3 linked regions of the Stegostoma tigrinum genome follow. The protein of the gene in region 1 interacts with the protein of each later gene in a biochemical or structural test. Links are inferred from orthologs where the notes say so. Each region holds a gene or a part of one and is shown in the gene's direction. Other genes may lie near its edges.

Region 1 (10,132 bases):
ATCAGCATACGAGGTCTCTGCAGGGACTTTGTGATGATTCTACTCATTCTCTGATGCAGTCTATGTGATTAAGATGTATTTGTTAGTCCATTGATTGAATGCTGAAATGCACAACTTCAGCTCTATTGGCTTTTAACAACTATTTTCATACAAGTTTGTAGTATTTAGAGAAGGCAAAAAATTTTATATATTTTAAATTGGTAGTGGTGAGTTGGGGAATTGCTATAAATGCACACATTCTGTTGAAACATTTTGTCTTTCACTCATCAGGACAATTTGCTAGAATATGAATTCACAAGGAAAACCTACATTTATGTTGCATGAGAGTGCTGATTGGTTAGCAAAGTGGAGTCATTGCTTTGGAGAATGTGCCATTAATGGGAATAATATTAACATAAAAGGAAATGCATTATCTGAGATTTTTACACTGTGGCTTACATAGAATTAGCTTAAGTTGTAATACTCCTTCCTTCAACTCAGAACGTCTGAGCTGAGGTCAGGCTGTAAGTCTGATCTCCAAATACAGGTTGACATTGGCACAGCACTGGAGGAATGTTTCATTGTTGGAGGTGCTGCCTTTTGGATGAGACATTAAACCAGGGTCCCTTGTCCTAGTTTATATGGATGCACTAGTGGAACAGTGGTCTTGCTGTTCTTTCCAACATTTATCCCTCAAACAATATTGTTAAAATTAACTGGATTTACCCTATATGTAGTTTTTGGGATCTTGCTGTGAATGGATTAGCTAGCTTTATTTGTGCACAAAACACTACTTATGCTTCTAAGGTAATTAATTGGTTGTGATGAAATTTGGAGCATCTTGAAGATGTGAAAATGCAAATATATAAGTACAAATTATTTCTTTCTTACATGATAAATTATTTCCACATTATCTCCCTCACATAAGAGTCAGAAGAATGTACAAAAAGATTGTTATTAAGAGTGAGCATTTAATACAAATAATTAAAGGGAATAGAGAAACTGGAATTGGTTATTCTACCCCTCTGTTCTGTACCGTCATTCAATTACATTATGGCTTACCTGTGGCTTAACTCAATCTAACCACCTTAAAGAGCTTGCTTAACAAAAAATGATCAACATCTGTTCTGAAGTTTGCAATGGACCTCTTTGGAGAGAGTTCCAGATTTACATTTCATACCTGACTGCATAGAAGTAAAGGAAGAGAAGGATATTTTGATGAGATTATGTGAAGTAGGGTGGTAAGATGCTTGTATTGAGCATTAATACTGGCAAACTGAGTCAACTGGCCTATTTCTCTAGTGTGCTAATCGACAGGGTGGGTAAGTATATTGGTGGACAAGTGGAATTGAGACCACTATCAGATCAGCCATGCATCTTAAAGGGGTTGAATGCCCTACTGCTACTCCTATTTCTAATGTTCTTTTCCTATGTAACAGCAGCAAACAAATCAAGCTGGAGCAGTCAGCCAGCTAGCAAACCTGGCTGGATCCAGAACACATGATTGTATAAAATGTCGTAAATGTGTCATGATATTCGACATTCTAACATTTTATGCAATTACAGGAAAAAAAGTGGGTGTTGTGGATTACAGTGTGATTGTGTTTACTGAACTTTGTTGTAAAAATAAAATACAAGTCAATTCCACTTACTCATAACTGTTGATTCACCTCTGTTAATTGTACTGATACATTTGTGTTGTTCCCTTAAAACTCCCTTAAAACTCACCTCATGTCACATTGCCTGAAGTGAGATTTTGCAGTATTTTTCAGTCTGTTTTTGCTGACTTTGTACCAACTGAAACATCAATATATCACAGTAATTGGAGTACCCATGAGTTATAATAAAGTTTGATAACATCTGTTGGTTCATATGAATTTATAACTATCTTTACTATATAGCGAAAATCACATATATTCCCATTTTTAATGGACAACAAACAGATTCCATATTTGTGTGCTTCCTATATATAAATAATATCATTGACATTTCAGTTTAAGCCTGAGATGGATTCTTAATCAGGAGAGGAGTCAAGGGTTATGGAGAAAGGATAGGAAAATTGACATGAGGAGTGTTGGACGAGCCATGATCTTATTGAAAAGTGGAGCAAGCTCAAAGGGCTGACTAACCCACTCCTGTTACTATTTCTTATATGGTTACCAAATATGGCACTGGATCTCAACAAACAAATCATCTGGGGTTGGGGCAAAGTGCTCCCCTTGCCAAAGTTATACCAGGCTCACAGAAGGATAATTTTGATTATGCAAGATCAAGAACTCAGCTCTAGAAAATTGCTGCAGGAATTCCTCAGGCAAAGTACTCTCAACATAAACATCTTCAGCAATTCCATAAATGATTTTCCTCCTGTAATTAAATCAGGAGGAAGACAATTTGCTAATATTTCCACAGCAGGATCCCTGCAGTGCAGAAACAGGCCCTTCAAGCCCAACAAGTCCACACCGACCCTCAGAGCATCCGACTCAAACATACCCTGAACACTACAGGCAATTTATCATGGTCAATCCTCCTACACTGCACATCTTTGGACTGTGGGAGGGAACCGGAGCACCTGGAGGAAACCCACACAGATATGGGGAGAACGTGCAAACTCCACACAGACTGTTGCTTGCGGGTGGAATCAAACCCAATGCTTCGGGCTGCGAGGCAGCAGCACTAACCACTAAGCTGCTGTGCCACTGTTCATTCACAAACCTTCTACTTGTGAAGCAACCAGGCGAGTTTACTGCAGGATTTGGGCAATACAAAGGGCTTGGCCTGGCAAAAACAAATTAAAAGCCAGGTAACTATGTTTTTGCAGGAGAGAGCCCACCCATCTCCTTTTGATCTTCAATGCAGTAGTATCAAGGGTTATATGGAAAAGTCAGGAAGGTAGAGTTGAAGATTATCAGGTCAACCTGATAATCTGATTGAATAGTGCAACAGGCTCAAAGGGCTGAATGGTTGATTTCTGATCTGGTGTCTTATGATCTTATTTTTTCACTGTACATTTTTTCTTGGGAATCACCTTGAATCATCTCTTAACTGGCCATATACTAAACTAGGGCTTACAAGAACAAGGCAGAGGTCAAGAACTTTGCAAATCTCCTTTTGACACTTCAGAGCCACTCTACCATCTATCGGGCTGAAGTGATGATTGTGAAGAAGATGAACCAATTATCTGATTGGCTGCTACCATGAGACCATTCAAACAAGTCAACCCCACCTGATCTGCTTGGTCAGCAGCCTTGAAACTAGGCTCAGAATTCACCCTCTCAGTGACTAGCATGAGACTTTATTTGTGGGGCCTGCACTAATGTGCTTCTGTGCTTATTTATATAATCATGCTCAACATGTAAGATACATTGCAGTCATTCACTCAGCTTATTTCGACAGAACCTCCTGGCTCCAAAAACCTTTTCTGGGAAAAGTGCAGAATAATCAGAGCATTGCATCACTGCCAAGGTATAGTTCCAACTTATCCACACTACCCTGACTTGAATGCATCCTCCCAACTTTATTACCTGGTAAAAATCCTAAATGTCTAACACGGTTACGAGAACACCTTCCTCACAGGGATTGCAGTAGTTCAAGGAGAACGATGCGATCATATCGTTAGGGAAGGCAGGGATAGAGATAAAAGCTGCTTTGTCAGCATTGATCTCATTCTGTGAATAGATTACAGAACACAGCAGATTCTATCTGAAAATATTAAGTTACCCAAAGGCAATTTCTGAAATTACCGTCAGACTGTTTAAAAAAACATTCTTATCGTGCTGGTCTATATTCACAAAACTAATTTTAAAAATCAGTTTTATAGCTTTGAGACAAATAAACTGTTTAATAATGTAAATACAAATAGTTCTTTTTAAATTTTGATTTACAAAATGATGGAGTAAAACCCCTTAATGCTTTCATAGTACAGCTACATTGAAACGATAGACAGAAACTTGCTTGAACACGATGGCGCAGGTTCAAGGCAAGACGAGCGCAGTTCTTTTTGAAGATCTGAGATTATGCGTGCATAGAAGCTTATGCAGGATGCAGACAGGAAAGTATTCAGGAAGGAAGGGTTGCACCGATGTCTCGGTTGTGAAGACAGATTCTGATAACACGACATAGTACACGGAGGAAACTAAAGGAGCATGTTGGTCCAAAGCAACTGCCTCAGAGATTGCGCTGCACAGTCAGCTTCGAACGCTTAACGGGTTCCATTTCTGGGGGGAAAACAGAACCTAACATGCACTGCACTGTGATATATTTGTGAATCACAGCAGTTCAAACAAGCAGATGATACTGCATTTGAATCTTCCCATTTCCAGGCGACAGTATTTACTAACACAGCGTATTTGTTTCTCCCTTCATAAAGCAGACGAGAATCAATTCGACGCGGACTGCACAGTCTCATGATTTTCTTGTCTCAGTTTCACGTTATACCTATTCACATTTTACATGCGAGAAGTATATTAAACAAAAGCGGATTCCACGCGTTGGACAAGTCAACATCTGTGAAAGGAGAAATCAATTAAATATATACCGATTCAAGGGTTTCTGCGTGTCTGAATGTCTTTAAGATATATCCTACTTTGTCACAGAAAAAAATATAAATGGCCCGGTGATAAAAATCACAGATGTGGCACAAATCCGACATGATCAAAACTTGGTTGTTTCTTGGTCTTTGTTTACTGAATAGAATTTTAAAAAATTGATTTGAGCACGGTACAGCGAGTTCGGAGTTGAGAGTGTTAAATAAAATGAGTGAATTCATGTGGTGTCCGTGTTACAAACCGATGTTGTGGTGGCCGAGTCAGACAATGAATCTGATCCAAACAGAATGGCGTTCAATCCGTGCGACAAGTTCCACTCTGTGCCTGTGCCAAAAGAATGAGTTTTCAGTCAGTCACTATGTCCTTCTCAAAAGCGGTTTGCCTCATATATAAGACAACGGCATATCTTATTTGGATTCGTAAAGCAAACTGGAAAAAAAATTACATTATTCTCTTCAGAACTCACTGTATGAATGTAAATTGCTTTTTTTTGCGTGCCAGCCCGGTTTTGGAAATTATTAACCGGCAGGAGGGGAGATTGAGAAAGACACAATGGAAGTGACTTGGCACAATCTCGCGGCCTCAACTTCCCCCAAAGCATCAACTTTAGTGCAAATGAGGACGGCGGTGTGCTGGAAAATGATATTAATAAACCCACCTCCAGCCCCTCCCTATTCTCATCCTCAATCCCATCACCTCCCTCCCCCCACCTCCACCCTTCAAAAAAATCACCCAACCAGAGGAAAGGAAACTTTAAAGCAGAGACGTGGAAGAGACCGCCCCTGACCCAGGAGCAGGAGATGATTGGGACTGGGGATGCTGATTGACAGGGGAGTGTGGAGGCCGCAGCGTGTGGTTGCTTGAAATGTCAATCAGGGCGCCCAGGCGACATTGTAGCCGCTGGAGACAGCTGGCGCTGTTGCTTTATCTTGTCGGTGCATATCTGCCTGTGTTTCACTTCACATTCTCCCCTCCCTCCCTAAACTACACACACACACCCCTCCTTCTCGGTCAGTGTGCTGTGTCTGCTGAGGACGCAGTGGTTTCTACTGGCTGCTTTCTCTCTTCATTTGCCTGAGGCTCTGGGGAGTTGCGCGAAAACCTGGAGCGATGTGTTGGTGATCCTGTCTGCATCGTTAACAGAGCCAGACACGGAGGGGAGGGAAGGGGGGTGGGGGGTGAAGAAATTAATTTCGGATGGATTTGGGTGCGGCAATCTTACAGTAAGAAAGGAGCCGGAGTTGGGGGGGGGGGGGGGGCAAGTTATTTAATAAAATAAAGCTGCAGCAGGAGGAAGAACCACATCAGCTCCTTCCTGAAGGTGAAACTCGGCGATAGGGGACTTTTTTTGACTCCCTTGTTGCATTTTTTTTCTTCTTGACTTATCGAGTCTTGGGAAATGCTGTCGATTGCCCGCCGTTTCCTGCTTTGAAAGGACTTGGTACATTTTCCCCCTCTCCTCCCACTGTCGTCTTTTACTCCATTTTAATTACTTTATTTTGCGTGCGAACCTCTAAATTCAGCGACGGATCTGAAAGTTACTTTCGAGACGACAAACCGCGAGAGACTTGGTTGCATCATTGGAGAGGAGGGGGGAAGAAAGAGAGGGGGGGGGAAAGACTTGCAAAAGTTCAGCGCGCAGAAGATTTAATTGGTCTAACTACCATCGACAGAGATCGGAGAGCTTGTGTTGAGAGCTCGCGAGTTTTTCCTTTTTTGTTTTAATATTCACCCCCCCTTAAAAAAAAGGAGAAATTGTGTTTGGTCCTGCCTCGGCTCTGAATACCACATAAAGCCCAGCTCTCCCCCCCCCCACCCCCGGATCGAACCTTTGGATTGTTTTGAAGTTTAAATCGGAAGCCGATGAAGAAGCGGGCCGTCTGGATCAGTGGCGAGTGAAGGTAAAATGGCTTGTGCTTGGAATTTGTTTTCGGCTTGGTTTCTGCTCGCCTTCGGAGGGAAGGCCTACACACTCTTTTCTAACACCAACCTTCCTCCCCCCCCAAAAAAAAAGGTAGTGCTAGGATAGCAGTCATGACCTACACATCCAAACCCGGTGTAAAACATAGCAATCCAAACGAGAGATAAGTATTGTTTATTTGGTGAGAAGAGAAGGAAGTTTTGCATTCGAGGTGTTTAAACCTTGACCAGTTGACGCTGTTCAAGGTCTAAACGTATCAGACAGAGATCCCTTTGTTTAACTTCAGGGCTTGAGCCGAAACAGCTTATTGCATCAACACTGGCATGTTCACAGTAACGGTGTTAGAAGATAAATATTGTATTTACTTGCTCGGATAAGTGGCTTGATATTAGGAAGAAGCAACTGGCATATCTTTTGGATGACAGGAAGCAAATGTTAACCCATATTCCAACCCTCCCTTTCTGATGGAACCTTGACCTCGTTTTTCAATTTCTGCTGGCGGTCCGAAAAAAATCTAGTGTTGAAAATACGCGGAGTCGATCTTTATATCCGTCTTTATATCCATCTTTTTGATGCACAGGTACATGCAAACACGCATGTGTTGGTTTCACAGCTACCCAAATGGTTTGAGATCAAAATTAAGTCGCTGTCTGTAGCTTTGAGTTAACAGAAGAGTGTAAGTATGTTTGAAGGTTTTGAGTTGCAGTTCCTTAGAGTTGAACTGAATCTTGGTGCTCTGTGGTTTGTTACTCACTGGAGTGTGAAGCTGTCATCAAAACTTTCAAAACAATAATGTTTGCTGCTTATGCACAAGTCCCAGAAATATACTTTGTAGAAGTGCTATAATACAACCGAAGGCATGTGCATAAACAAGTTGCCGTAGTTAGCCTTTCATAATAAGGTACATATGTAGGGACGGAGGAGTGAAGTGGCAGTGTTGGTTTGTGGTGGTGCTGTGTTACAGTTCTCATAGACTAATGAATTGCTCTGGCAATGTGTACCTTTTACTGTATGTTGTGATCTGGATCAATGGTTAATGATGTTGGAGGTTCCACTGTTCTTTGTCACATGGCCGGCCAGGAATGTCCCCCGCCCTTGCCATCTGTCACTGGCATGTGTTTGAAGGATTTGCAGGTTGATATTTGATTATTCCATTTGGGAACCCTGTAGCCTTCTGGATTTAATATCAAATTCAACAATTTTACAACTTGAGCACCTTTCCTCATTTTTCCACCACCAAAATGTACCAGGCCTTGTCATAACATAGGCTGCGACCAGACATTATCTATTCTTAACTACTAATAGTTCCCGTTAGCAGCTGTTTATTCTCCTAGCCTGGTATTTATCCACGTCTTTGTTTATCCTTCTCTTTGGGGTCTATCTCCACGTAATGTTTACTCCCATACCCCCCTACGACCTTCTGTATAAAACAAATCCTTTTCCTAGCTACCATCAATTCTGAAGGCTCACCACACCTAAATATTAACTGATTTCTCTCCACAAATACTGCCACATCTGAGATTTTCCAGCAATTTTTGTTTTTGTTTAATGTCCAATCTGTTTGGCAACATTACAGATGCACTTTGTTTGGCTATCAAGCCTTGGAACGGGAATTGAATCCAGAGCTTTTGGGCTTAGACACAGGAACACTAACCACTATGCCAGAAGAGGAAAAGTTGCAGGATAAGCTCAGCAGGTCTGGCAGCATCTTTCGAGGAGAAAACAGAGTTAATGTTTCGGGTCCGGTGACCATTCCTCAGAACGGGACCCAAAACATTAACTCTGTTTTCTCCTCCACAGATGCAGCTAGACCTGCTGAGTTTTTCCAGCAACTTTGTTTTTGTTCCTGATTTACAGCATCCACAGTTCTTTTGGGTTTTACTATGCCAGAAGACCTGGTGGTGTCTTTTTTTATTTGTTCACAGGATGTGAGCATTACTGCCTGGGCCCAAATGGCAATCAAGAGTCAACTGCATTACAGTAGGTCTGGAATCACCTTTTATCCAGACCAAGTAAGGACAGCAGGTTTCCTTCCTTGAGCAACATGAGTGAACCAGTCTCATTTTTATGACATTGATAGTCATAACCCGGTGGCCGTTGTGCAGGTTTTACTCCAGGATTTTTAAAAATTGAAATCAAAATTCATCATCTGCTTTATGGAAATTGACCCCATGTTACCGGAGCGTTGGCCTGGGGTCTTGGATTGCTACTCCAGTGACATGACCACCACATATCCATCCCCCAAAAAAAGAGAATGGCAGCTATTCATTAATGTCTCCACAGTGATAAGTCATTGTAGATCCACTGGAAACAGACATGTGCTTGTTCAATGCAAAAAGTTGTAAATGAAGCCCATCACTGTACTGTACTAGAGTATATGTATGTTTGGAAAAAAATGCGGGACTATGGAATAAAGTAAGACAGGGAGACTAATTGGAAATATTTTCTAATATAGATGTGATGGATGAAATGGCCTTTGGAATGCTTGAGGATTCCTTGACTCTGTCATGCTGTATGTTGCATGAGATTTGGAATATCCAATACAACAAATTGTCTGAGATAACAAGGTGTGGAGCTGGATGAAAACAGCAGGCCAAGCAACATCAGAGGAGCAGGAAAGCTGATGTTTTGGGCCTAGACCCTTCTGCAGAAAAAGGGCCCTTTTCTGAAGAAGGGTTGAGGCCCGAAACGTCAGCTTTCCTGCTCCTCTGATGCTGCTTGGCCTGCTGTGTTCATCCAGCTCTACACCTTGTTATGTCAGATTCTCCAGCATCTGTGGTTCCTACTATCTCTGAAACAACATCAAGTTGTCTGGTCAACTGAGAGTTATTCACCAGGTCTTCCAGACGACAGACAGATATCTGATGAGGAAAGTCTATGGTTTGGAATGAATGACTGCTGCTGTGAGCTGCTGACCACACTCATATATGTATATTTGTAGGTCATGAGTCCAGAAGCCTGCAGTGAATGAGTTATGGCAACACAGCCAGTTGCTGCTGAAATTGCATGCCACCAACTTGTCACATTTTATACAGAGGGATGGAAGTTATCCATGCTAGTTGAGATTAGATTTGTTTAATGTCACTTGTACCTAGGTACGGTGAAAAGTGTATAATGTCACCATGTTCTGGTCTCATTTTGGATTACAGAATAAGTTACTGAATTAAATTGTAGAAGTGGTAATATACTGAATAAATTAATGCTAAATTGAAAATACTGAGACTGAAACAGCTTTAAAAGCTCATTATTCCCTCTCCATATCCTTCACCCTGTCTGCTCCTCTGTTCCCCACCTTCCCGACTTCATCCCCAAGGTCCTGGCAGTGTGCTGCTTTCCTGCTGCCATCAGTGTCAATGCTTCTGCATCCATTGCCTATGAGCTGGAGGCAATCATGCTACACAGATCCCACTTAGAGCTATTGCCAATTTTCTTAAAGTTATCATCTCTGGGGTGAATATAACTGGGAATTCTTTGATGTCAGGCTGGCTCGATGACAAAAATTTGGCAATGGAGGTTTGGAACAAGGTCAGAATTTTATAGTAGACAGAATGATTTGAAACCTAGGCAAAGTGAATGAATAATTCTGGAGGGGTAGACATGTCACTGAATCCACAATGCTTTCTACTTGAAATCTCACTGAATAACCCAATACGCAGTGTGATCCTAGTTGGGTATGAACACTTATTGG
Region 2 (10,381 bases), on another chromosome or scaffold:
TTCTCCGTGACTCCCCTGTCCGCTCCACACTCCCCTCCAACCCCACCACACCCAGCACTTTCCCCTGCAACCGCAGGAAGTGCTACACCTGCCTCCACACCTCCTCCCTCACCCCTATCCCAGGCCCCATGATCTTCCACATCAAGCAGATGTTTGCCTGCACATCCGCCAATCTGGTATACTGCATCCACTGTACAGTGTGGCTTCCTCTACATTGGGGAAACCAAGCGGAGGCTTGGGGACCGCTTTGCAGAACACCTACACTTGGTTCACAATAAGCAACTGCACCTCCCAGTCACGAACCATTTCGACTCACCCTCGCATTCCTTAGACATGTCCATCCTGGGCCTCCTGCAGCGCCATAACGATGTCACTTGTAGGTTGCAGGAACAGCAACTCATATGCTGCTTGGGAACCCTGCAGCCTAATGGCATCAATGTCGATTTCACCAGCTTCAAATTCTCCCCTCCCCCCAATGCATCCCAAAACCAGCCCAGCTCGTCCCTGCCTGTCTAACCTGTTCTTCCTCTCACCTGTCCCCTCCTTCCACCTCAAGCTGCACCTCCATTTCCTACCTACTAACCTCATCCCGCCCCCTTGACCTGTCCATCCTCCCTACCTCCCCACCCATACTCTCCTCTCCACCTATCTTCTCCTCTATCCATCTTTGGTCCGCCTCCCACTCTCTCCCTATTTATTTCAGAATCCTCTCCCCTTCCCCCTTTTCTGATGAAGGGTCTCGGCCCAAAACATCAGCTTTTATGCTCCTAAAATGCTGCTTGGCCTGCTGTGCTCATCCAGCTTCACACTTCTATCTTGCGTTCTCCAGCATCTGCAATTCCCATTATCTGTTGTTCTGTAACCTGACTACGTGACAATAAATCTAATTTGGAGTCTCAAAAAAAACTCCAGTCTGACCAGTCTCCCTCCAGAACTCAAACTCTCAAGCCAAGGCAACATCCTGGTGAATCTCCTCAGCACCATCACATTCTCCTGTAGTGTGGATACCGGAATTGCACACAATACTCTACCTGTGGTCTAACCAATTTATTTTGTACATTCCAGCATATCTTTGATGCTCTTCAACTATGCCTCTTCTAATGAAGGCAGATATACTGTACATCTTCTTCACATCATCCACCTGTCCAGACATATTAAAAGACTGGTGTACATGTATTCAAATGCTTTCTGATCCTTGTTGCTTCCCAAGGTCCCACCATTCTGGAAGATTAAACGCAAGCACACAATTTCAATAGATGCAATGTGTAAAATGGAAGTTGCAAGTATCAGAGAAGATGACCATTTGAAATTATTTGCATTTTTATTTTAGTTATGTTCCAAGTAGTATTCAGGAAGATTAGATTTGGATGCTGCCGTCACTGTTGAGAGTCAATCCTATTCTCACCTTGTCCCTTCAAAAACTCTATCCTGCCAATGCAGGTGGATGCCATCACATCATAGTTTCCACTATTTTCCTGGCCTTCCGCCAATAACAATAGTAGGAAAATTTTGTTCAAGGGGCATACTATGTTCTGTAATTTTTACAAAGTCAGACCAAGTTATTTTTTTATTTGGTCATTACAGCACTTTTATTCTCACTTCTTGGTTATATAAAACTGTACATTTGGTTGTTTTATGGAACTGAAATGAAGAAATGATGATGGAATGTGTGGGGAAAAATTTGCTTCACTACATGAGCCCTGAATACTTATCAGTCAGTGACCAGAGAATATGGTAACAAAAAAGTTGACTTAAGATCTGACCATTGTTATTTACATTCACTTTTACAAATAAAGGAGGTCAACCCAAATAGCACCCTTTTTCACTGTTATAAAAATGTCTTTTCTGTGTTGATTTGGTCTGGTTTTTGATGAAAAATACAAACCAGAAACACTGACGCTCTTTCTCTCTTGACAGATCCTGCCACACCTGCTGAGTGCTTCTAGCATTTTCACCTATGTTTATATCTTATGCTCCTTTTCACAAAGGAAAATTTAACCATTACAGGAACATTGCATTGACAAACTCAACATTTACAGGCATTAATGAAACATTTCATTGGCTCTGACCACGTGTTATTTAAAAATGCTGCAGATTTAAAATTGCTTTCAAGCATTGAAAAGATTACATCTCAATTTTATTTTGGTTCTGATGGTATACTGTCATGCCAAACCTACCTGACAATTTCCCAAGAAATGTGAAGTGTTACAATAGAAGGTAAAAGCACAATGATAGCCCTTATTCATAAGGATTATCAATCTTTAGGTTATTTTAAAATGTAATTAACCCCTCAGTTTGAAATAATTTATACAAATCACAAATAAGCTTTCATAGAAATATTGCAACTTAAAAAACATCACTAATTCCAACTTTGTAACAACACCATAGTTCTATATACACAGAATCTCTACACAGCAGCTCCCCTCCATGACTAAAATTCAAATCGCAGGCCTCAGAAGTTATCAATCAAGAACCTATTTTGGTCTTAAATACACTCAATGAGTTGGTCTCCAAAGCCTTCTGTGGCCATGAATTCCACAGATTCACCATCCTCTGGCTAAGAAAATTCCTGTTTTACTCAGTTTAGAAGGGTCTTCCCTTCATTCAGAGACCCTGCTCTCAGGTCCTAATCTCCTCTATTGCTGGAAACATTACCACAGCCCCCTTATCTAGATCTCTCAGTATTCTGAATGTTTCAATGAGATTCCATAGCCTTTATGCCAAGCAGGGATAAATGAATGGAGAAAACAAAGTGAAATGGGTTTGAATGAATTAGCAGGCAATATCATCACTCTTGACTGCTGTTAATCATTGTCCAGTAACCACTGCTTTTATCTGGCATTCACTTAAAAGCAGTTATGGTCACACAGTATTAAAGGCACTAGATAAAATGCAAATTTTTGTTGTTGAATTAAGCAGTGACAGCGTCTAAGATTGATTGGTTTCCAAACTGACTTGACTCAGATCTAAAGAATAATTTAAAGTGGCACACCAGAATGTGGCCAGTACCTTGAGGAACATAATCCCTGGAGGCGATGTATTCTGAACTTTAAGAAAGGAAGGAAGAAAACTGGATGAGGTTAAAAAAAACTTCATAAGTGTTTTGTAAATAAACTGGTCATAATGAAGATTGAAATTTATCGGTGTTTTATTGTCAAATGGTGTCAGCTTCCATTTTGCATTCTGAGTTGTTACATAGAACAAAAAAGCAACTCTACACAAGATACTGGATTTTTAAAAAAATCCCAAAGTTAACAGTTTTAAAATATTTGCCTTCTTTTCCATCTTAATTATGATATTCATGAATGCATGTTGAATTTCCCACAAGATTTCATCAAAACATTAAAGATTAAAAGAATAATCAAATAATAGCTCAATTGAAAGAAAAGCCTTGTTTTCTATTTATAGAAATAGCAGTTGAGGCTCCCCTCCCCCATGAATTGTTTTCCTCACCCTTCTCATTTCTTAACGCTTGTTAACTCCCTGTTAAAAAGGTAGCAGCTGCTGTCTCATACCAGCTCAAGAAGCCATTATCCACGTATCAGCCTTCATAAATATCAAGTTAATTGATCACCAGGCACAGCTGAACCTGACTTTCTTCTCTCCCCCGCGTAACGTGATAACCCAGGCACCCTCTGCAGGTTCAAAGCTTTGATGGAAATCAAAGACATTGAACTCGAATGTAGCAATCCGACTAGAGAAGTAAATCTGTTGCCTATATCTTTATCAGAATTTCACTATTCTGAACGTTACGGAGGATTTTCAAACTGCTGACAGACCAGTTCTCAGGTTGGGGTCAGTGGCGCGGGATTACATATCATTAATTACCATTACTGGAATGAGAAGCAAGTAGTTTGCTTGGCGCAGAAACTTGATAGACAATGTTGCAGGAGTCGCCATAACATTTTCCAGAGGATGATTTAGGAAGTGTAGGTCCAATGTGGGAAGGTATTACATTTAAAGTTTTAACAAATGATAAGAATAGGTTTAATTAGTAGGAGTGACAAGTGTGGGGTTGGCAGAAAGACAAACATATCGAGGTAAAAAGAATGTTTCTTATCAGCCAAATTATGCCAGTTGACTGTCGTCATTCTAAGGTTATCTATTTTACGACCCGATTTTCTTTTACGTGATTGGTCACCAATGTTGCTGGTGATCAAGTTAATGAGACCTTAAACCATTACACCCCATCGACGCAGAAAAATATTTCAGCCGAACCAGTTCGCCCATACCACTCCTACAGGTCGGAGTATTAGAATTGAATTGCACTTTTTGAAAAGGTGCAATCAGAGTGCAACGGTATTTTTAAAAAAATTAGTTTAAGCTTTGAAGGACTGATTGTTGGGGGGCTAGTTTACCTAGTGCATAGTGCATTTTTCAGGTTGAACAAACTTTGTGTAACACGTGCACCATTTCTGAGCAGCACTTATGAATCACTATCGAGGAGCTTTGTTCAATTACTCGCTGAGTAAATCGAAGAATTACAATTACCATCAGTACATTCTTCCGTCGAGCGAGCGGCGACGGTAGCCGGAAAAAATAACTCAGAAGTGGAGTTTGCCACTTACATATGAAGTACGTGACTGTGCACCAAAGTGACAAAAATTCTAATTGCATGCACCATCAGAAACTCCGAAACAGTAATAACATATGTTTAAAATAAGTTCCGGATGAATCACAATACCGAAGTCTTTAAAACAGTGGACTGTGTTGCAAACTCACGACTGGGTACTAATTAATTTGATATGTCACCCTCAGAGCCCTCACCTTCACTGTTAGGAGAGAGAGAGCCGCAACATTGGGCTGACACGGAAATAATATATTTCGACAAGAGACTGCTATTCGAAGAATATTTATTACCCCGAATACTGACTTAGCTTAGCCTTTAACTTGGCTAACAAGACGACTAAAGCAGGGAAGGAACATTGGGGCATCTCAGCAGGCAGGTGCAACAATGAAAGATGCAGCAACTTCAAGGACCTTTCAAGCTAAGATCAGCGAAAAGTTACAACTATTTTGGAGTCGGATTGCATTCCGACACCATGCGCTTTTACCCTACCCACTCTACATATCTTGCGCATCGCTTCCAACCAATTAGCAAAATTCTTCTTATCGGATTTGCACGGCAAGTCTGGAACTTCCTCGCCCAATTAATAAAGCCGCAGCTCTCGATTGCTGGAAGCGCACGTCAGTCATTACCATCAGGCTAGGTTTGAACGCTTCGCCTCAACCAACTTGCCGGCTTTGCTCCACATCTTTTCCCCCATCCCCCGCCAAAAAAAAACACACACACACATATATGCAGTCACGCCTACCTGCTGGAAGGGGATTGGTCAGGATCCAATAATAAACGCGCCTTTTTTTCGCAGGAGGGTGGAAGCGAATTTGTACAATGCAGTGAAGGTCTTCTACTGGTCTCACAGGACGTCAATCACACTGACGCTTGAGACAGGCGGAGCTGTGACTGGTGATGGGCGATGCCAATCGGGTTACGTAAACCGCCTCGCCCCACCGCTTCTCGCTTTTGCTCTGTTTAGGAGGAGGGCCTGTTCGCGAGCTCGTACTGCCGTTTTTTTTGAAATCCACCTCGGGGCGGGGGTTGGGGGTGGGTAGGGGGAAGGAAACAAAAACAATTCAACGCCATTTTGGACTTAGGCCTACTTCGTTAATTATGAATTCCGGGAGACTTCGAGTACACCATTCCCGTCAAAGGAGCTGAGGGTTTGCATCGTATGTTTTCTTCCACACCCTCTACTTTTTATGTGAATGGCGGCTGTTTTTTCTTCCTCCCAAATCATCCCTTGTTGGCGTTATCGGCTCTACACGTCTATGTATTTTGTCAAACAAAAAAACATTGACAGCCGAAGTGTATGCTATCGCTTAAATTCCCTACCTTTTTGAATGAAGTTGCCCACTGAAGAAGGGGGAACGTTTGCTACAAGGTGGATCGCTGCCAGCAGCAAGTCAGAAGACGTGGTGGAGTCGTAAAGATTTTTTTACCCTCGGCTGCGATACAGCGATCGTTGTGTTCTAATTAATCGGTTTTTGTTTTAAAAGAAGACATATCAATAAAAAAAATCATGGGAGCTGGTACCAAGCTTGTTTTTGCTGTTTTTCTGATTTCGTGCTCCTCAGGTAGGTGATAGTTTTTATTGGGCTCTCTTACCCCAGAATTTTTTTAAACCAGTCTTTCACGCACGTAAATCTTAAATAGCATGCGATTTTTTTAAAATTGTGGATGTTGCAATCGAACCTCGCAGCAAAAAAAAGCAAGCTCGTAATTTGGCACAATCTATTTGCTGTTGGATGAGTAAATTCAGCCAGTTTGTGGCGTGCATGTGCTGAGTTTCTGTAGTGCGGTGTTGGTGTTTTACTTGTAATGTTATACCAACAAGCTCAAGGTGACTGATCGGAATAAAGGCAAACTTACTAAATACATAGATAAACGGCCAAGGGTTGACTTTGGTTTCATTTTTTTCCGGAGTATTGCTAGTCTTAAACTATAAGTGACGTTCGATTTAAATTCATTACGTACAATTTTTTTCCGTGAAATTTGTACAACTTAGTAAAATCAACCCCTTCAAAGTACACTTTTTAAAAAAAAAGTAACTGAAAAAAATGGGTGTTCCTATTGCAATCTGTTGCAAAGTGGAAAATCAGTCCTTGTATTGAACGACAAAGATCCTTAGTGATTTTAAGGTGAAAAGTTTTCATTTTTCCCTGTACCTTCCTTTTCATCCTTCCCCGTCCCATGAGAGTAATTGTTTATGAATATTGTAAAAGATGACAGATGAAGCGATAGTTGTACAAAGCATCTCCGCCTGTTTAATTAAAGTTTTGTAACAAGTTACATTGCAATTTTGTTCAGAAAATTGATTTGCAGATATCGTCAAATGCAGACCTGTTGGTGAAAAGGTCGCATTTAATCTGAAGTGCTTATGTACTCTTTTTTAAAGGTTTCACGATCGGCTTTGTAACAGCAGCCATCGTGAGTGGTCCATTTTCATTTCAGAGCTTCGCCTGCTTTGTTATTTAGGAAATATTACTGTGTTCTGAGTTTTATACTACTTGCACAGCAATCATTTATGCAGAATAACGAGCAAAACAATATTCGTGTTGAAACTATACAGTTTGCACAGTGCAAAGCCCAATTCTTCATTTCATGTGAATGTTAAATGTATAAAATTTGTGTCGATGAGATGAAAGTCCATGACACGTAGCTGGTTTATGCTACGCATCTTCTGAGTATTGAGTGTTTATTTTCAATCGTAGTCATTAGACGACTTAATCACTATTTGGAAGTTGTTGTCAGATGTTTTACGGTAGTGAGCTGGCAGTTTCTTGGGCATTTCATTTTGTAAATTCCTTTTGCTCTCTTTTTATCTTGGTCTGCAGAAGGCACAAGTGTGCAATATTTGTATGACTACATTGACACCTTGTAGAAAGTATTTTTTCCAAAATGTTTTAGTGTAGAAGAAAAAGCTGGTTATAGATTAATACAATACAGATGCCTGATGCCCATTTTTGTAGTCAGTTATAACATTCTCCATTTGTGAAATATTTTGATGTATGTAATCTTGATGTCCAGATCTTTTTTTGTGGAAAATAATTGTTGCCGTAACAGAACTGTGAATGATGTGCTTCTGTATAATAAGAAAGATAATATAAAATAGTGCTGACAAAAATCTATGCTAAATTGGCTTTGCCAGCATTCTGTTGTCGAATTTAGCTGTTTATAAAAGAAACTACGTGTGAATTTACCAGATGTGAACCTCCCTGTTTCAGCAAGTAGGCTCCAGCGCAATTATCGAATATAATTAAGAATATCTGATGGAATTTATTCATTAATTGTTTTCTATGGCGAACATTGACCTTTCTAGTATTGAATAGCAGTTGTAACTTTTTTTACGAGGCAATGTTCTTTATGGTTGATTTGTGTTTTGAGTAGATCCTTTTTGGAGGTATGTGGTGGGAAACGTGGCTGTACAAGAGACTTGCTCAACGTTTTTCACTCTAGCAAAATTGGCAGACAGGTTTATTTTTTAATGTGTGTCTTTAGAATTCAGGCTGAAAATTTGAAATAGCATACTATGCATAAATTATAAAGCTTCATTTACTAAAAGGGCTATTCTAGGAGCAATAATTTCAAAGCTTTTTAAGTGTAACTGAGCAAGTAGTTTATTGCAATGCTTAACTTACTGCATTTACAATGGCTAATACTGCTCTAAGCCTGAATGTAGCCAGCAACCCATGTTTAACATTTAGATTTCATATTTCTGTAGGATTTTTAAATATATTTAACAACTGGAAAATACTGTATCTATTATTCAGAGGCCATTTCTAAAGTCAGCAGTGGTCATTGAGAGGGTTAGTATTTTGTTTTCTTTGCTCAAGTTTTGCATTATTTTGTTTTGCATACAAACTGTTTTTCAAGTTACTAATTGTAGGATTCTCGAAATTTTGCCTTTTTAAAATTAATGTGGGTAATGGAAATCAATTTATTTGGCATCAGGTAAATGTGTGCTGATTTTAAGGTATTGTGATATGTTACGTAGACTTTCAGAAGTGTGATTGGATGACTTCAACTTCTAAAATAGGACTTTATCAGATACAGCATGCCTAAGTTTGTGAGATCGTCCTGTAGAGTAAAGGAAGAACTATTTTAGGTCACTGGGTTTAGCATTGCAGTGATGAAATGGTGTCATAGTCTGCTTGTCCACACAGAAGTGTGCGACCACATGCCTTTTACTTATGTGGGTAGCAGGTATTTTCATTGCAGTTCAAATTGAAATATCACTATTGCGTCGTTTACTGGCTGTTAGTTTAATAATGTTTTAAGATTAACAGTTATGAACTGTTGATATAAATTTATATTTAGTTTGGATAAGGATCGAGAAGCAAACTCAAAGAGAAGCAACTACATAAGATGCTATGGCCCACTTCGTGCAATGATCCAAATAGATCTATAGGTGTCCATGGTACAGAAAATTAATCACCATTAAAGTTATGTTCAGTGTGCATGATTCACTTATGCTATATTTGATTAGTTGTTCTTCAACTTCATGGATATTGTATAAAATATTTCCAGTTTGCAATTTTGAATTCTAAAGGAAAATGCAATAAATTGCTGGTTACATTATTGGTCTTTCAGCACTTAAAATTTTTGAATTCAAAAATGTCAGAGGACACGCAAAGTACCTTTTTTTGATTGAGTGAAGAGTCCAGCAGATGACAATGACTACAGTTCAAATCCCTCAACATCCCATATGAGGACTTTTTTGTTTGGATTCAGAGCAATGGTGTAGGAATTAGAAATATCATGCTGCACTATAACACCTAACTTTCATTCTGGCTTAATCTTACAAATCTTTTCAAATTTCATGTAAAAATAAATGTTTTTCAAGTACCATTGTTTCACAAATCTCAGGAACATTGCAAAGTGGTCATACAGCAATGTGTCTTACACTAACTGAAATCAGATCAATCCCATTAAACAATTCTGCCATTTTACTGTAGAAGGGGCAACTACAGCTATGCCAAATGGTTTAGTTCCATTGGTGTAGTGAAATAGAAGCTTGAATCTTCATTTGACACAGGGCTAATTGATTGTGTGTGTTCGTGGCATAACTTTCTGTTAAACTCAATTATTTTTCTAAATATAGAATACACTGCAAAATTTTACAAATTTTTCCAGGCAAGTACTTTCCAAATGTTATTTTGTTGAAATTATTTTTCTGTATTTTGCAAATAATATATTTGTTACTCTAAAGTTACAATTCACAAATAAATATTCCAACAGTATCTTCAAAATGATTTTCTTAAATTTACTCTCTTCTGTTTACCTACCCCTCCTCACCCACTACCTCCAATCAAACACTGTATGTATTTAAAGTTGCCCGGTGGCAGACTGGTGTATGTTATGGATGTAAAATTTTGAAGTCAGTGAAAAATTGTCCAAAACATCATGTCAAGTATTAACGTATGACTTCAGAAATGAACACTTAATTGAGTCCACTGAGTGCATTGTAGTGCTGATAAACAGATGGCTTTTAGGTTATTAAGCATGCAGAAGTGTTTCAGGTGGTCTCAGGTTGTGAAATACGTGATATAAGTGCAAGTCTGTTTATTTTATTATACTATTGCCGTAGAATCAAATAGAGAAACATTGAAGATAGGAGCAGGAGGAGGCCATTCAGCCTTTTGATCCTGCTCTGCTATTCTTTACGATCAAGGCTGATATTCCAACCTAAAAGCCTAACCCTGCTTTTTCTCCATAACCTTTTGATCCCATTCGCTCCTAGTGCTATATCTAGTCGCCTCTTGAATACATTCAGTGTTTCGGCACCAACTACTTCCTGCGGTAATGAATTCCACAGGCTCA
Region 3 (9,862 bases), on another chromosome or scaffold:
AGATCTTTCCATAAGTTGCTTCATATTTGTTTATGATCTCCCGCTGCCTATTGGGAACCTATAGGGTCAAGAAAAAACCCTCACCTAAAACCCTGGAATTTTCCAATCTCCAAAATACTGGGCAAAGCTCTGGACTCAGGCTGCAGCAAATATATAACATAGCCAGCAGAATGGAGATTTCTGTCTGGGACGATGGCTCGGCCTGGAATTCCAATTTACACATCACAAGAAAAGAACAATCAATTGACATTAACGAGACCCGGGCCCAAGAGTGCTTTTACACCTTGGGTTACAAAGCACAGACAGTATGGGGTCTACAGAGAGAACGAACTTCAACTTCAATCGAAATCCATTCACAGAGATACTGGGCATTCAACATTAATTGAAATCGGGTGCGGGTATAGTTGCAACATTTAAAACACATTTAGATAAGTACTTGAATGAGAAAGGTTTGGAGAGATATGAGCCAGGTGCAGGCAGGTGGGACTACTTTAGTTTGGGATTATGTTCAGCATGGACTGGTTGGATCGAAGGGTCTGCTTCTGTGCTGTGTGACTCTGACTCATACACTCCAGTAGAAAAATGTTCCTGCCTGTCCAGCCTCTCATTATAACTCAAACCTTCCATTCCCGTCAACATCCTGGTAAATTTCTTCTGAACTCTCTCCAGCTTAATAATATTTTTGCACTGTTTGGTCACTTCTTAGAAAACATAAACTCCCAGCTGTTCACACAGTCGCTCAAGTTTTAGATTTTTTCAGCCAGCTCCTAGAATTACAATAAAGATACAAATTAGCTATACTCCAGTTGAATAGCGGAATAGGTTTGAATGACTGAGGTTTTTGCTTCTGCTTCTGCTTCAATGTGCTGGAATTTCCTTCCTAACCGTCTCCATCTCACCTGTTCCTTTCAAATGCTTCTTCAAATCCACCTTGTTGACCAGGCCTCATAATGTGTCAAAGGCGCTTTTGCTTGACCTAAAAATAAGAAAGCACATCAATATCCTGGACATTTTTTCTGGCGTGTATCCCGAAACTCAGGATTTATGTGCGGTGGGATTAGACAGCCATGGCTGATAAAGGAAGTCAGGAAATATATCAAAGAAAAAGAGACAGCCTATAAAGTGGCCAAGAGCACTGGGAAATCAGAAGATTGGGAAGGCTACAAAAACAGGCAGAGGGTAACAAAGAGAGCAATAAGGAAGGAGAAGATGAATTATGAAGGTAGGCGAGCTAGTAATACATAAGAAACAAACGAGAGGCAAAAGTAGATATTGGGCCGCTCCAAATTGATGCTGGAAGGCTAGTGATGGGAGATAAGGAAATAGCTGAAGAACTTAGTAAGTACTTTGTGTCAGTCTTCACAGTGGAAGACATGAGTAGTGTGCCAACAATTAGGGAGAGCCAGGGGGCAGAGTTGAGTACGGTAGGCATGACAAAACAGAAAGTGCTAGAAAAGCTAAAGGGTCTAAAAATTGATAAATCTCCTGGCCCCGATGGGCTACATCCTAGAGTTCTGAGGGAGGTGGCTGAGGAAATAGCGGAGGCTTTGGTCGTGATCTTTCAAGTCACTGGAGTCAGGGAAAGTCCCAGATGATTGGAAAATTGCTGTTGTAATTCCCTTGTTTAAGAAAGGATCAAGGTAAAAGATGGAAAATTATAGGCCGATTAGCCTAACCTCGGTAGTTGGTAAAATTCTAGAATCCATTGTCAAGGATGAGATTTCTAAATTCCTGGAAGTGCAGGGTCAGATTAAAACAAGTCAGCATGGATTTCCCAGCACTATTCTCGACAGGGCCCTCAACTAGGTCTGAGTTATCTCCTGCACTTTCACACTCACCCCCTCTCTTCCCTCCCGCAACAGTAATAGGGTTCCCCTTGTCCTTACCTACAATGCCACCACATCCAGAAGATCATCAGCTCACTACTTCCAGTAAGAGGCCACCAGCAGACACATAGTCCCCTCCCCTCCCCTCCCTTGTCTGCCTTCTGCAGGAACCGTTCCTTCCGGGACACGCTGTTCCATTCTTTCGTCACTCCCAACACACCCCCAGAGCCTTGTTGCAGTGAAACTAAGCACAGGCTAGAAAACAACACCTCATTTTCCACTTAGGGAATCTGCAGCCCTCCAGGCCCAATATTGAGTTCAATAATTTTAGAGCCCAACTCTCACATGTCCTAGCCCCCAACCTGTCGCACCAGGCCTCAAATAGTCTGCTGCCACACACTACCTATTGTTAACCATTAACGGTCTCCATTAACAGCTGTTAACCCTCCCAGTCAGGTTGTTATCCAATCCTTAGTCTGTCCAACTGTTCTTCTCTCTCTTTGGGCTGTATCTCCACCCATCTTTGATGCCTTACCCCCTTCCTCAACCCTATCCTCTGCAATATAAACCGACATTTTCCAAGATGACTTTCCACATCAAGCAGATGTTCACTTACACATCCGCCAATGTAGTATTACACATCCACCAATGTCGTATACTGCATCTGCTGTACCCGGTGTGGCTTCCTCTACACTGGGGAAACCAAGCGGAGTCTTGGGGACCGCTTTGCAGAACACCTTCGCTCGGTTCGCAATAAACAACTGCACCTCCCAGTCACGAACCATTTCAACTCCCCCTCCCATTCCTCAGACGACATTTCCATCCTGGGCCTCCTGCAGTGCTATAATGATGCCACCTGTAGGTTGCAGGAACAGCAACTCATATTCTGCTTGGGAACGCTGCAGCCCAATAGTATCAATGTGGATTTCACCAGCTTCAAAATCTCCCCTCCCCCACTGCATCCCTAAACCAGCCCAGCTCATCCCCGCCTGCCTAACCTGTTCTTCCTCTCACCTATCCCCTCCTCCCACCTCAAGCTGCACCTCCATTTCCTACCCACTAACCTCATCCCACCCCCTTGACCTGTCCATCCTCCCCTGACTGACCTATCCCCTCCCTACCTCCCCACCCATACTCTCCTCTCTCCATCTTCGGTCTGCCTCCCCCTCTCTCCCTATTTATTTCAGAATCCTCTCCCCCTCCCCCTCTCTGATGAAGGATCTAGGCCCGAAATGTCAGCTTTTGTGTTCCTAAGATGCTGCTTGGCCTGCTGTGTTCATCCAGCTCCACACTTCGTTATTTCATTTTCCTCGCCACCATCAGTTTTGAGGAAGCGTCACTGGACCCGAAACGTTAACTCAGCATCTGAAGAGAAAACAATCAGACCTGCTGAGCTTTACAAGCAATTTCTGTTTTTGTTTCTGATCGCTTCACGGCTGTTTGTTAATGCATACGTGCACCATTTCTCCATGGTGTCTGCAAATGCAGCCTAAAAATATTCAGGGACTCTGCTGCCACTGCCTTTGACACAAGAAAGTTCTAAAGACTCATGAATGAGAAAAAAATGTTCTCCTCATCTCTGTCATAAACCGGCAATCCCTTAATTCTAGATTCTTCAACAAAGAGAAGGATTCTCTCCAAATGCACTGAACCTTCACGGTTTCAAGTTCTGTGATAGATCAATGCCTTTTCAGGAAGGGGTTCCAAAGACTCAGTGAGACTAAAGAAACTGTCTGCTTTGTTTTGCAAGGGTGATGGATCCCGTATTGCACACACCTATTTATCTATTTATCTTAAAAATGTGCTGTTTTTTCAATGGTTTTGATTTCCATTGATTTTGATTCACGTTTACAATGTCTCACACATACAGTTGAGTATTCTTTCACCAATACGTTTTCAGGAAGTTCTACAAACTCATGACGGAGAGAGAAATATTTCACCCCATCTCTGCATTAAATACGCGAGACTGGCTTTTGAAACAGCGACTCTGTTCTCGCACAAGGGGATAAATCACCTCCATTTCCATTCTATCAACAATCTTCAAAATCTTATATTTTTTCAGGATTCATGATTTAGACAAATGTTCTCCTTATTTTGATTTGTATTTACAATGCTTCAACAATTCAAAGACTTCACTTCGACTGTCTTTTTAGGAAGGCAGTTCCAAAGACTCAGCGAGAGAAAAAAAAATCCTCTGCTTTGTTTTGAAAGGGCGATGAATCCCTTATTGCCCAGAACCCATGAAATAACTTATCCCAAAACGGTGTTTTTTCGCCACTCTCTACCAGATCTAGCTGTCCCACGATACCAGGTTATAGTTCGACAGGTTTATTTGAAACCACAACCTCCTGGAGTGCTGCTCCTTCTGCCGACGTCTCTGGGACCTTGTAATTTAAAAAAAAACTGGTGTCATAGTGGGGAAGATCTCCAAAAAGATCGCACATATTGACAGGCACTCCACCTGACGATTCAACAGCGCTTCCAAAGCTTGTGATTTCAAATGAACCTGTTGGACTATACCAGCGTCGTATCACTTCTGACTCTGTGCACCCAGTCCGACCACAACATTGATCTACTTGAGCTGCGAATTCTGTGTTTCCAACACTTCCAAGGGGGGAGAAGCTGCACTCTAATGTTACAGATCTCAACGCCATTTTAAAGATCATAAGTCACACAACACCAGGTTATAGTCGAGAGATAGTGGGAACTGCCGATGCTGGAGAATTTAAGATAACAAGGTGTAGTGCTGGATGAACACAGCAGGCCAAGCTCCAGACCCGAAACGTAGCTTTCCTGCTTGGCCTGCTGTGTACATCCGGCTCTACACCCTGTTATCTCAGGTTATAGTCCAACAGGTTTATTTGAAACCATAAGCTTTTGAAGCGCTGCTTCGTCAGGTGAAGCTCCGAGAGCTTGTGATTCAAATAAACCTGTTAGACTACTATTTGGTGTCGTGTAACTTCTGACCTTGTCCAACACCAGCACGTTCAAATCACGGCCATATTAAAGAGTCGATAGAGCAGCTTGTGGCACATGGCAACAGTCCTACCTCTAAGGCAGGAGGTCCGGCTTCAAGACTACCTGTTCCAGAAATGTGGTATAATATCTCTGAAAGTGTTGATTTGAAGCTAAAACAGCAACAGCACGGACTAACCGACAATAACACAGGTGATTCTACCCAGCAATCGGAGAGCACAATCACCGTGGTAACTTCTCCTTCGTTAGACCAGCTTCCGCCTCTTTGCGTCCACCTCCTTTACTGGCTCCGAAACCTGCTTCCGTTTCCGACCCCCTGGCCCGTGATTGCTCGCCCAAGGAACGTGTGTCGGTATTGTCTGTCAGTCGCTTTACTGTTTCCGTCTCTCAGAGACACAAACTACCATGGAGCCCGTCTACCGAGAGGATAAACCCAACCCGATGGGAACTGCCAATATATTCTCCAAAGTCTTTTTCTGGTAAGCGTGCTTCGACAACTTCTTTAGTGATGATATTTATCGCTTTTTCTATTTTCGAGTCATTCAAGATTAACTATCTGTTTGCTTATCTGTGTAGCCTTTAATAATTTTTCATTACCAAAGGCATTCAGCCCTCCGAGCCCTCTGCTTTTACGGGTTTTTATTAGTTCAGTGACAAGCCTTAGATCGTAACTGTTGTAAATTGAGAAAATGTTAGCTGGTTTCCACTATTCCTACAGTCCCAGATCGGTTTTATTTTCAGGTGTTCTGTTGAAAATCCTCAGTTTTTAAAAAAAAAATTAACTAAGTGCTAATGATAAACTTTGAGATTAACATTAAGTGCCGGTGATGAGGTGCAGTAGCTTTCCCAGCGCTCTGCCTTTGTAGACAATAGAACTGGCATTACAGTTCCTGTTTGCCGCAATTCGTAGGGTTAAAGTTTAAAATCTGCTTTCAATTACTTATTTAAACCTGTGAGACAGTAAACAGCAAAACGCAATGTTTTTGCCAGGGCCCTTGATACTGCTAGAGTAGCTGTGATTGTTCTTGGCGCAGCAATTTATTTGTTAAAGTGTTTGAAATAATGAAGGGATTTGATTGAGTGAGCAGAAAAACTATTTCAAAGAAGGATGTAAACAGAGGACGTAGATTTAAGGCAATTTAACAAAAGAATCAGAGAGGAGTTGAAGTTTTTATTTCTGGCCATGCTTAAAAAAGGTGGCGGAAGCAGATTCAGTGGTGACTTAAATATTTGAATATCCACGTCAAAGAAAGCTTGTAGGTCTTTGGAGAACAAGCCATCTCATGGGAAGAATTGATAGTTTTTTCAAAGTATGGACACAGGCATGAGAAACAGTTAAATTTGAGTCTGGTGTATGATTGATGTCTTTCTATGTTGTACATTTCTAAATCTCCTCCTATTTTCACAATACTAAATAAGCAGTTTTATTACTGCTTCCTCATGGTATAGATATTGAAACTGACAGGAAACCGATCTTCCTGATCTACTTCAACATAATTTTCTTACACAAACCACCACAACCGTTGATATCCTTGCGTCTTTAGTAACTTAGATAACAAGATGTAGAGCTGGATGGAACACAGCAGGCCAAGCAGCATCGTAGGAGCGGGAAAGCTGACGTTTCAGGTCTGCACCCTTCTTCATTTCTGAAGAAGGGTCTAGGTCCGAAACGTCAGCTTTCCTGCTCCGATGATGCTGCTTGGCCTGCTGAGTTCAATCGGCTCTGCGTCTTGTTATCTCTCATTCTCCAGCATCTGCAGTTCCTACTATCTCTGAAACATCTGTAGTATCTTAGAAGTTTACATTGTTTAGTTTATAACTTTATTTTTCCACTCCTTTATGGGGGATGTGACTCATGATAGAAATTTGTTTTGTTTTATTTATTCACTTGTTTTATTTATTCATTTATGGTATGTGGATAGTGCTAGTTGGCCTGCATTTATTGTCTATCACTAGTTGCCCTTGAAGGTGGTGATGAGCTGCCTTCTTGAACTGTTTTGATCCATCGACAGTGAAGGAACGTTAATGTGTTTACAAGTCAAGATGGTGAGTGGCTTGGAGGAGATCTCACGGGCGGTGTCTTTTATAATAGCTAATTTGAAAAATACAAATCAAGATTTTCAGGAATAAAAAAAATTGTGCTTAACCTGCCCTTAATATACATTCTTGCACATTTTGCATGAGCACAGTATCATGGAGTCCAGTTCTATGGAGTAGAACTGCAGAAGACTAGTTCCTGTTAAAAATTGATTGTTTGCTAAAGTTTAAGTTTTCATATTTAGCGTCTGACTTAAACTTTAATTTGTAGTGTTTTACATGTTGCTAGTCAACAGTAATAAAAAGAAATGCTGAAAATAATCAGCTCTGGCAGCATCTAAGGGGAGGGGGAGAAAGGTAATGTTTTAGGTCCGTGACCTTTCATTCTTAACTTTGTTTTTCTCTCTACAAATACTGTTAGATCTTCTAAGTATTTCAGGCACCTTCTGTTTATATTTCTGATTTCCAATACTTCCAGAAATTAATGTTAAACCAGAAGCCTACTATTATCTGTTGCACAATTTGGTAAGGCCACGTTTATCTGTACTGTAACAGTAGAGGCAAACATCACCTCTGCATGTACTGTTGTAATCCATGTCTTTTGAATGCAATTAACTGAAAACCCTGACACATTGGCTTGATATCAAAGTTCAAGTTGCCCGCCAGCCTGTACAATTGTAAGTTCTTGTCCCTCGTCGAGCTAAGCTTTTTTGACACTCTGGAAAATTGCTTTTTGTTTGGTAAAATTATTAAAAGAAAATATTTTGCATTACACATTTAAGAAAAAAGAAATGTCTTAAGCCAAATTTAAACAACAATGCTCTGATTCACTGCCTATGAACTAAACTATTGAGGCTGAGGGGATTTCCTGCATAAAACCTTAATATGCTGATTGAAAAGCATAATTCAATATGTTAACAGCTGATAGCTTTTAATTTTCATGGTTTCATTCATTATAGATTATAGCTTTGTGTGCCAGTTTGAATGGAGAATGGAATGTTCGAGATGAGAAGTGTGAGTTCACTTTCTAGGCCAGTTCCTGATTAACCTTTAAAGAAAAAAAGTTCATCAGATGCTGTATTGTGGCTGAGTATGTGTGCATAACTCATTTTTGACATATTTCCTGTGGGATGCAGGTGTTAAGGTGATTATTTAACATTTACTTGTTCAAGCTAACCACCTAACTATCTGTGGGGATTGACTCAGATCTTTGGAATTTCTGCTGGTAGGCCTGTGGACGCTTGTGGCACAGGGTGGTGTCCCTCCTTCTAAGTCAGGAGATCTGGGTTCAAGTCTCATCTGCTGCAGAGGTGTGTAATAATATTTTTGAGCAGGTTGATGAAAAATATTTACGGCTTGTGTGGTGCAGCGATGGTGTCCCTGTCTCTGGGTCAGTAAACCTGGATTCAAGTTCCACCTGTTCCAGAAGTGCATAATAACATCTCTAAACAGGTCACTGGTAGGGTTTATGTACAGGTCCCCCCACAGTAACCACGTGGCACCAGGGAAGAAATAATTTTCAAAAGTAATTATCATGGGATTTTAACCCTAAATGTCGACTGGAAAAATCAGATGGGAAAATTTAGTCTAGAGGAATTGAAAATTTTAATGGACAATTTCTTAACATTTAATGGCACCAACCAGAGAACAGACTATCTCCCAGGAACTGCTGATGCTGGAGAATCTGAGATAACATTGTGGAGAGCTGGATGAACACAGCAGGCTAGGCAGCGTCAGAGGAGCAGGAAAGCTGACGTTTTGGCTGTGGACCCTTCAGAAATGGGGGATGGAAGAGGATTCTGAAATAAGAGAAGTGGGGAGGGGAGGCGATGATGGAAGGTGGAATACAGGAGCAGATTGGCGGAGAGAATACGGACAGGTTAAGGAGGTGGGGATGGAGCCAGTAAAAGTGAGTGTAGGTAAGGAGCTGGGATGGGGCTTGGTCAGTTGAGGGAAGATGGACAGGTCAAGGATGTGGGGATGAGGCTAGTAGATAGGAGGTGGGGGTGGGTGTTGGTCAGTGAGGTGGGAGGAGTGGATAGGTAATAGAAGAGATGGACGGATCAAAGAAACAGGGATGAGCTGGGCTGGTTTTGAGATGACGTCAAGGGTGGGGAGATTTTGAAGCTTGTGAAGTCCACATTGTGAGACCATTTGGCTGCAGGGTTCCTAAGCAAAATATGACGTGCTGTTCCTGTAGCCTTCAGATGGAATCGTTGTAGCGCTGGAGGAGGCCCAGGATGGACATGCCTCCCAAGGAGTGGGAGGCGGAATTAAAGTGGTTCATGATCGGGAGTTGCAGTCGTTTGTCGTAAACCGAGTGTAGGTGTTCCACAGAGTGACCTTCAAGCCTCTGCTTGGTTTTCCCAATGAAGAGGCCACATTGGAAGCAGCAGATACAATGTACCACATTAGCAGATGTGCAGGTGAACATCTGTTTGATGTGGAACGTTTTCTTAGGACTTGGGATGGAATGAGGGGGGAGGTGTAGGGGCAGACGTAGCTTTTGCCTTCAACCACAGGAAGTGTGCCGGGGTGGTGGGGCTAGTGGGGAGTGTGGAGTGGACGAGGGAGTCACAGAGAGCGCGGTCCCTCTGGAAGGCAGATAAGGGTGGGGAGGGAAAAGTGTCCTTGGTAGTGGGGTCAGATTGCAGGTGGTGGAAGTGAAAGAGAATGATACGTTGAATCTGGAGGTTGGTGGGGTGATAGGTGAGGATGACGGGGTATTCTGTCTTTGTTGTCATTGCAGGGAGGGAGTGTGAGGGATGAGTTGCAGGAAATGTGAAAGATGCGGCCGAGGTCATTTTCAACGACTGTGGAGAGTAAGTTGTGGTCCTTGAACAATGAGGACATCTGGAATGTCCGAGAGTGGAATACCTCAACTTGGGAGCAGATGTGGCAGACGTGAATGAATTGGGAAAGGGGGATGGCAATTTTGCAGGAAGGCGGGTGAGAGGACATGTATTCTAGGCAACCTTGGGAGTTGGTTAGCTTGAAATGGATATGTTTCCAGGTGGCTGCAA

Evidence for each region. The genes of interacting proteins can lie anywhere in the genome.
Region 2: the proteins of erbin (region 1) and acvr2aa interact in a test that uses a peptide from one of them, tested with the Homo sapiens proteins (2 studies listed by BioGRID and IntAct). The link is inferred for Stegostoma tigrinum from reciprocal best matches to the Homo sapiens genes ERBIN and ACVR2A.
Region 3: the proteins of erbin (region 1) and abcc4 interact in a test that uses a peptide from one of them, tested with the Homo sapiens proteins (2 studies listed by BioGRID and IntAct). The link is inferred for Stegostoma tigrinum from reciprocal best matches to the Homo sapiens genes ERBIN and ABCC4.

The regions. Positions count from the first base shown.
Region 1 is NC_081356.1:111,629,009-111,639,140, reverse strand, and holds the start of erbin (erbin), read left to right. Parts: upstream 1-5,770; 5' UTR 5,771-6,424; intron 6,425-10,132. UniProt on the Homo sapiens protein: Acts as an adapter for the receptor ERBB2, in epithelia. By binding the unphosphorylated 'Tyr-1248' of receptor ERBB2, it may contribute to stabilize this unphosphorylated state.
Region 2 is NC_081360.1:83,446,333-83,456,713, forward strand, and holds the start of acvr2aa (activin receptor type-2A), read left to right. Parts: upstream 1-5,607; 5' UTR 5,608-6,080; coding exon 6,081-6,135; intron 6,136-10,381. UniProt on the Homo sapiens protein: On ligand binding, forms a receptor complex consisting of two type II and two type I transmembrane serine/threonine kinases.
Region 3 is NC_081359.1:44,661,104-44,670,965, forward strand, and holds the start of abcc4 (multidrug resistance-associated protein 4), read left to right. Parts: upstream 1-5,088; 5' UTR 5,089-5,207; coding exon 5,208-5,281; intron 5,282-9,862. UniProt on the Homo sapiens protein: ATP-dependent transporter of the ATP-binding cassette (ABC) family that actively extrudes physiological compounds and xenobiotics from cells.